2 linked regions of the Astyanax mexicanus genome follow. The protein of the gene in region 1 interacts with the protein of each later gene in a pairwise test. Links are inferred from orthologs where the notes say so. Each region holds a gene or a part of one and is shown on either strand. Other genes may lie near its edges. The genes, in order: cytoplasmic tyrosine-protein kinase BMX and ptpn21.

The links.
Region 2: the proteins of cytoplasmic tyrosine-protein kinase BMX (region 1) and ptpn21 interact in binary tests that used the Homo sapiens proteins (3 or more experiments, as listed by UniProt). The link is inferred for Astyanax mexicanus from reciprocal best matches to the Homo sapiens genes BMX and PTPN21.

The regions. Positions count from the first base shown.
Region 1 is NC_064430.1:16,759,717-16,763,644, reverse strand, and holds the start of cytoplasmic tyrosine-protein kinase BMX, read right to left. Parts: upstream 2,665-3,928; 5' UTR 2,586-2,664; intron 2,177-2,585; 5' UTR 2,169-2,176; coding exon 2,028-2,168; intron 160-2,027; coding exon 55-159; intron 1-54. UniProt on the Homo sapiens protein: Non-receptor tyrosine kinase that plays central but diverse modulatory roles in various signaling processes involved in the regulation of actin reorganization, cell migration, cell proliferation and survival, cell adhesion, and apoptosis.
Region 2 is NC_064421.1:15,928,807-15,932,734, forward strand, and holds the start of ptpn21 (tyrosine-protein phosphatase non-receptor type 21), read right to left. Parts: upstream 2,875-3,928; 5' UTR 2,703-2,874; intron 1-2,702.

The sequences.
Region 1 (3,928 bases):
ACAAATTATAAGGAATCATGTAAGTGTGAATATGTGTGTGTTAATGACTAAAACCTGAAAGGGAAACTCTCTCTGTGCAGGTGCATTGTCTTCAGGCTCAACTATCTCCACACAGCAAATTTTCTCTGCTGCCACCACTCCCTTCTTTGCCTTCCGCTTCTGCAACAATGAGAAAAAGCACACAATAATGCATTGAAAAAAAAAATACACACAAAAAGGCTTGTCTGAATAAATATTCATGCATATGCATTAAATTCAAAAATATTATCTTACCCCCTGCATAAAGCATAAAGTAGCAATTAAATTCTTCCTCAGACTGAGAGGGGAAAAACCTTAGAAGGAACCAAAACTCATAAGGAGAACCCTCCTTTCCTTGATGACACCAGACAGCGGAACAAATAACAGAACAGTTGTAAGTCTTCCTGCCACATCTTCCTTTTGCTATGCTGTGCTTATGCTGCTTTCAAGTCATGTCAGAAACATTTTAGAAAATGATTGCACATAATTTCCACCACGAGTTTGTATTTATCAGTGGGAATGATATTGGTGGAATTTTAATAAATAAATCTGGGAAATATCAGATAAGTATATGCTACTGAAACATCTACTGGATAAAAATATCTCTTTATTATATTAAATGTACTATTTCTTAATGTGTTTTGTAGTAACTGGAAAAATAATTGGCAACAGGAAGACAGAAGTAAAAAATAAATAAAAAAGCATTTATAACAAGTCGGTTTGTGTTGTTTCCAACCAAATCAACTGGAACAGAAATATATATTTAATCCCTGCTTTATTATAGTCAGCATTTTACTTGTAACATTAGCCAGGGGTCTGCAATTAAGTTTGGCCACTGGACAGATATTTTCCAAGCCATTATATGGCTTGTATGATGTGTAATAGGATGGAATGCTACAGACTAGTAGCTCTCCAGCCCAGAGGGTTGTTGAACCCAATTGCAGAACGGTTGAATTCAAAGCAGGTAAACAAAAAAAGAAGAAAGGAAAAATAAATAAATAAACACAATACTCCTCACACGGGATTGAACCCGTGTCGTCAGGGTTAAGGTCCAATACACTACCGCTGCCCCGGCTAGTGAATTGGGACACGGCCAAGAAAATACGCCCTTATAAGGAGATAGGGAGCCCTAGAATGGACGGGAAAACAAGAACAAGCAGAAACTCACGCTGAGCACAACAGAAAGTCAGGGGAGGAATGTAAACAAAAGTTTACCAGAGAAGCATTTTATTTGTAATTTATTTAATTAGTAGTGGATATTTAGTAGAATTAGTAAGTAGTATATATGCCATGTACTGTTATATTAAAGACAAATAAATAAGCGGACAAGCAAATCAACAAATAAGTAATTCAATAAATAATAAATAAATAAAAAATAGAGTATGGTTAATAGAGTAAGGCAACACTATGCCATAGGATTAAAATCCTACTTAAGGAATAAAAACCTTACTTAAGCCCTATCTGGACGGGATTATTTCCTCTGGGGGACGTCTATGAAAAAAAATATTTCACACTTTTACTTTTACAAATTTAGCATCCAGACTGCAATTGAAAAAACTGTAGGACCTGTGAGTTTTTTGGCTTTCTCGGTCACATGACATCGTTTTCAGTAGCTCCTCTATTTTCATTTGCTTTTGTGTTTGCTTTTTCTCCGTGGAAACGCACGCCCAAAGTGTAATTATGGTGCGTGGCAGTGAACAAATAGCTATTTTATTAAACGCAAGCTGATGAAACACCGTAACGAAAAACAGTAGATAATTCAGCCTGTAATTTTCTTAGAGGACGTCTGAGAAAAACACATACATGGTCGTTCCGGATGGGTATAAAATCATAGCGAACCACCTACAAAGAGAAAATTGCCTCAGGACCCCCTGAGAAACTAATCCTGTCCAGGTAGGGATTTAGTGTGAATAGGCCTTGAAGGGCTTAACTGTAAACAACAATCTGCTCCTTTCCTATTCTATATTTATGAACTAATAAGCCTGAAAAAATGCAATGAAAAGCCATACCCCCTTTTCATGTTCGTAGTAACTCAGAGTCTTATTGGTCAGTATGAAGAGCCGCTCCTTATAGTTTTTGGGTGAGATTTTCTTCTTCTGCTGAGACATCTTCAGCAGGATGCCTTCTTTAACCACCCCTTCTTCGCTCATCAGGACAACTGGACACAGGCACCAGAGAATCACACAGAGACACACAGAGAATAAGACACACTACTAATAAAACTTTGTTGTTAGAGTGCTTTACAACAATGTTTATAGCAGCATAGAGAATGATTGCTTTATTACGTGCAATTAAGCAAAACATCAACATCCTTTCAGCTGTGTGCACCTCTACCTCTAACTGTCATAACCTGAGAAAACAGTATTAAGCAGTATACAACCCCCGATTGACCATACTTAACACAAAACACCACGCTCAGTAGAATAAAAACGAAAAAAGGAAAACACTGCTGTTTTACATTCCCTGCATATTTCCACTATCACAACTAGGAGCATCAGTGTATCATTGGTATAAAGTCTCACAATAAATTAAATCACATTAAGGTTTTATAACGGTAAATATCATACCTGTGCCGGCTGAGAAACGATCGTCTGGCCTTTTGGGTCCCGAATTAAACTATAGCTGCAAAAGCCTGGTGCAGTTTCCTGATATCTGTTAAAAGAAGGTGCTGCTTCACAAAGGCCTCTGTGTGGCAGCAGGGCACTGTTTGCTTAATGTATTTGCATGACCCTGACACTATTCAGAACAAACACTAACTTCCTTTGTATGAAACCACATACCTACACAGGTCCATCAGAGGAATACATAGGTATGCTAAGTAAAGAAAAAAGAAAAAAAAAATGCTTGCAACTCTTCCAAATTAAAATTATTTTTTGTATCTTTTTTCCAACTCTGAATCTAATAACAACTGTGTTTAACTATTCAAAACATGCACTGGTCAAACTCAGCTTTACTTAAAAGCTGAAAGCTACTTAATTTTTTAAAAGGTTTCTAAACTGAAGTTCGTTACCAAACTCATGTGAAATGATAGCCTGCATGTTCAATTATTTGATATTTATGACAAAAAAAAAAATCACTCCTGTTAATGGCATTCATTCCTGTTACTGGTAATCACTCATGGTACTGGCACTCACTCCTGTTACTGGAACTTACTCCTGTTACTGGCACTCATTCTTGTTAGTTTTTATGTTTGGAGTAATTTTTAGGATGGAATCAATTACATTGTCATTATACAGGGGTTGGACAGTGAAACTGAAACACCTGTCATTTTAACGTGGGAGGTTTCATGGCTAAATTGGAGCAGCCTGGTGGCCAATCTTCATTAATTGCACATTGCACCAGTAAGAGCAGAGTGTGAAGGTTCAATTAGCAGGGTAAGAGCACAGTTCTGCTCAAAATATTGCAAAGCACACAACATTATGAGTTACATACCAGAGTTCAAAAGAGGACAAATTGTTGGTGCACGTCTTGCTGGCGAATCTGTGACCGAGACAGCAAGTCTTTGTGATGCATCAAGAGCCATGGTATCCAGGGTAATGTCAACATACCACCAAGAAGAACAAACCACATCCAACAGGATTAACTGTGGATGCAAGAGGAAGCTGTCTGAAAGGGATGTTCGGGTGCTAACCCGGATTGTATCCAAAAAACATAAAAACCACGGCTGCTCAAATCACGGCAGACTCTCCTGTTTCCACAAGAACTGTCTGTTGACATTGTTTATCGCAATTATGTCTGGAACACAATGTTGTCTAAACAAAAACGGTTATCGTGACAGATAATGCAGAAGTGTTAATTAAGTCAGGAGTCCAAATATTGCATTATCTTACTGAAGTATAAATTTAATTATAATAAAAAAATAATATTTTTTTATATCTACTTCTTACATTTACACACAATTATCTGTACT
Region 2 (3,928 bases), on another chromosome or scaffold:
TCAGTTAGTAGAGCAGTAGCGGGACTGAATGAAGTTACTGAACACATGTTCTCATATGCACCTCCTTAATGCATTTCAGCACCACTGTTACTGTCAACTATAAACTCGCCTAAAACTGCATGCCCAGGTGAGCATCACCTCTAAAGATGTATAATAATATCAATATTTTACAGGCATCAGAAAAATTACTTTATTTGTATTTTTATAAAATTGTAACCATCTGCACATACATTTTGCAAGCCAAGTGGATTTATCCACACTCTTCTTAAATATGTTATATATGTCTAACTTATATGTATAATGTATTGACATATGTACAGAAAAAAAACATCTGGCACTGGCATCAGCCAATATAAATACATCCCTGGTCTTGGCCAGTCACAGTAACTACACGTTACTGACCTATCCCATAATATTTTGACCTGACCTCCACAAATATATAGTTAAAAGAATAATTGATTATAGCGACACACTTACCCTGATCACAATAATTGATTTAATAAAGAATAACACAGGCAAGCAAGCAACAACCAAATATTACTGAAATTACATTAATTCAAATCACATCTCTCTTCTTTAAGGAGTCTGTCATCTGAACCAATCTTTTTTAAAAGATCTATTAAAATGCACACTGGATGCCTACAGATAGATATTGGATTTCTTACAATAGAGCGTAGTAGATAAAAAGTTACTACTACTGCACATTATAGATTACTGCAGAAAACAAAACGACAGAACTATATACAAGGCTAATATTATTCCTGACATGAGGAAAAATAGCAATGAAAAATGCAGCAAGTTTTTCACATTCAAACTCACATCTATGTTAACATTCTTGCTCAATAACTGTGCTAAAGGCAAATCATGAAATGTTGCACGGGGTGGATTTTTATTGTAGCACAAGAGAGAGCCACATAGAAAGAAAAATACCTGTCTTTGATGAGGGACACAAACAAAATGAGCATTTAACCTATTAGCCAGATAACCCGCATCTAGGTTAAGAATGTCAGAGACTGAGAGAGGGAGAGGTATTTACAGTATGTTTGTTATCTGCCATCACTACCCTTTCACAGCACATATTCATACATAGTTAACCTACCTTAGCCAAATATTTAGTTAGATCTATAGCTCTGCAAAATAAGAGCCCACTTCAGTTTCTGGATCAGTTTCTCTGATTTTTTTTTCAAATAAAAATATTGTCATTTACAGCATTTATTTGCAGAAAATGAGAAATGGCTGAAATAACAAAAAGATGCAGAGCTTTCAGAATTCAAAAAATGCAAAGAAAACAAGTTCATATACATGAGTTCAGAAATCAATATTTGGTGCAATAACCCTGTTTTTTAATAATAGTTTCCATGCATCTTGGCATATTCTCCTCCACCAGTCTTACAAACTGCTTTTGGAAAACTTCAAGTAGTTCAGCTGGTTTGATGACTGTGATCACCCATCTCCCTCTTGATTATATTCCAGAGGTCTTCAATTTGGTAAAATCAAGAAAAAACATCCTCATTAAGTGATCTCTTATTTTTCCAGAGCTGTCTTTATACAGACATGTGCTTCTGTCAGAAACATGTAAGGAACTATTTTATGCTGCAGTGATGTACATATTTTAAACTGTTCTTTAACTGGAATAAAGGGTGTGAAATGTGTTAAATATAAAAGCTGCATGTAAGCTTGAAGGGGCCTGCTTACTATTAGGTTAAAATAAAAAGTTGAAATTGAAATTAAAGGAAAGTTATTATATACAAACCTAACATCAGAATCCAAAAATCATTCATATTTGAAAATTATTGTTTTTTTTTTTTTTTTTTTTTTACAATATTGCCCAGCCCTAAAACATATGTATTTAGAATGCATTTTACCTTTATTAAATATTACACGTTTTCATACTATAACGTTACCTTATTATTTATGAATGTATGTATGTGTTTATTTATCTTTTATATAATGTTGCACGGCATATCTATGTCTAAAACAGTGAGGCATACAAATGGGTCATATATACAACTATGTAACTCTTTTCTACTTACATTATTCTTCCATGTTTCAAAAAATTCTCTTGCTGTAAACTTACTAAAACAGTGTTTTTATAGTCGTTACTCTGTGCAGTTAGACCACTCATTTTTCTTTTATTAATCATATTAATATATTCTTGGTTCTCATCTCTGTTGCTGGAAATGTTTTGGGCGCTTTACTGGGTTTTAAAATCTAAATATAAGTTTGCTAGTTAATTTCACAGGGACTCTCAAGCTTCCAGAAATATATAATGATAGTATTTTTGTCATAAAGGTAAGTTAAATTAAGTTGGTTTAAGAAGTCCGACAGCTAGCTAACCTCGGCTAACCCTGGCTAACAGACGCATATCAACAAGTGGCTGAGCCTGTAGTCACTCTGAATCACGGGAACAGCGAAAACAAACTCGCTCCATAGGTCTGAGCGTGACCCAACACTGTTCAGCGCTTTCTAGAGCAGAACAAACTTTTATTTGCGATGAATAAAGTGCTCGCCCTGATCTCTGTGGTCTAAAGATTAACTTCTCATCCCCCAAAATCCACCTTAAATCCTGTCGAAGCTAGTTAATTCTGAGCTAGCCGACCAGAGTAATGGCTGAGCGCACTAACAGCTAGCTTAGCTAAACTAACGCTGCATTTAAAGTGTGCTGGTGTTCACTAACGGAGTCTAACACTACCAGCTCTTACCGCACACACGTCCCGCCGTGGGCCAGCATTGAACTCACACTCCGGGTCGAGTTTTTAGACGGCTGAGGAGCTGCGAATAGAGTCCAGAGCTGCTGAAAGTTTGTGTAAAACCCCGCATGTTAGACTCCTACTGCTCCCAGGTCACACTGGCTGCGGCTGCCATAGCTACTTCATTTCCGGTGTTCTGTCGAGTTGTGCTACCCATCGAAATGTGCATCGAAATGCATCAATCCTTTTTTAAGTAATATTTTTTTAGTAATATAGCAAAATATAGTAATATAGTATAAAGTAATATAGCACAATATTTTATAGTATAGCAGAAGGAATCTATTGTATGTTGCAGTGATGTACATATTTTAAACTTTTCTTTAATTGAAATAAAGAAAGTTATGTTTTCACTGTGTTAAATATAAAAGCTGCATGTAAGCTTGAAGAAGTCTGCTTACTATTAGTTTAAAAGAAAAAAAGTTGAAGAATTTTTTTTAGAGGAAATTATAGCTCGCGCAATGGTGCTGTCTGTCTGTTTACAAATGTAAAAACTTTTTACAAATTAAAAAAGTTGATATATGAGAACCTAAAATCATAATCGATAATCACTTATATATTTTGAAAAATAGACATATGTATTCATTTATTTATGACAGTTTATAATAATAAAAGAAACAATAACTGGACAATGAAAAAAATGCGGGTTATAATTGCCCCTATTAACTTTAAACTGTATCCTGATCTATTGAATCAAGCATTCCAAATACCCAACAGAAACATGTTTAAATACTGGGCTTTTTCTGGCATTTTATCTTTAAATATCACTGGGGTAGCATAGTTTGACAGGGTGGCATAACTCGACAGAACACCGGCTGGACTCCAGAAATCTCCTACACGGATTCATCCGCGGATCTAGCTCTTCTCACTGAGTAAACCTGCCGGGATTTCTACTCAAACCGTGTCCACACAACACACGCAGCGCTCTTAATCACGTGTCTGTGAACGCCGGGAGAGGCACAAACACTGCGTGTTTGTGTAAAACAGCGCAGCAGCACTTTTTGATCAGTGTGTCTGACATCAGACAGCAGGAATGCCGCGCAGGCAGACTGGAGGAGATGGGAACTTCGATTCAGTGATTCGATTCCTCCTCACCGTCCGTTTAAATGAATCGAGCGCCAGATGATTCGTTATCGTCCCATCCTTCTGACGGTTAGTGGCTGGGATGGCCCTAAAATAAT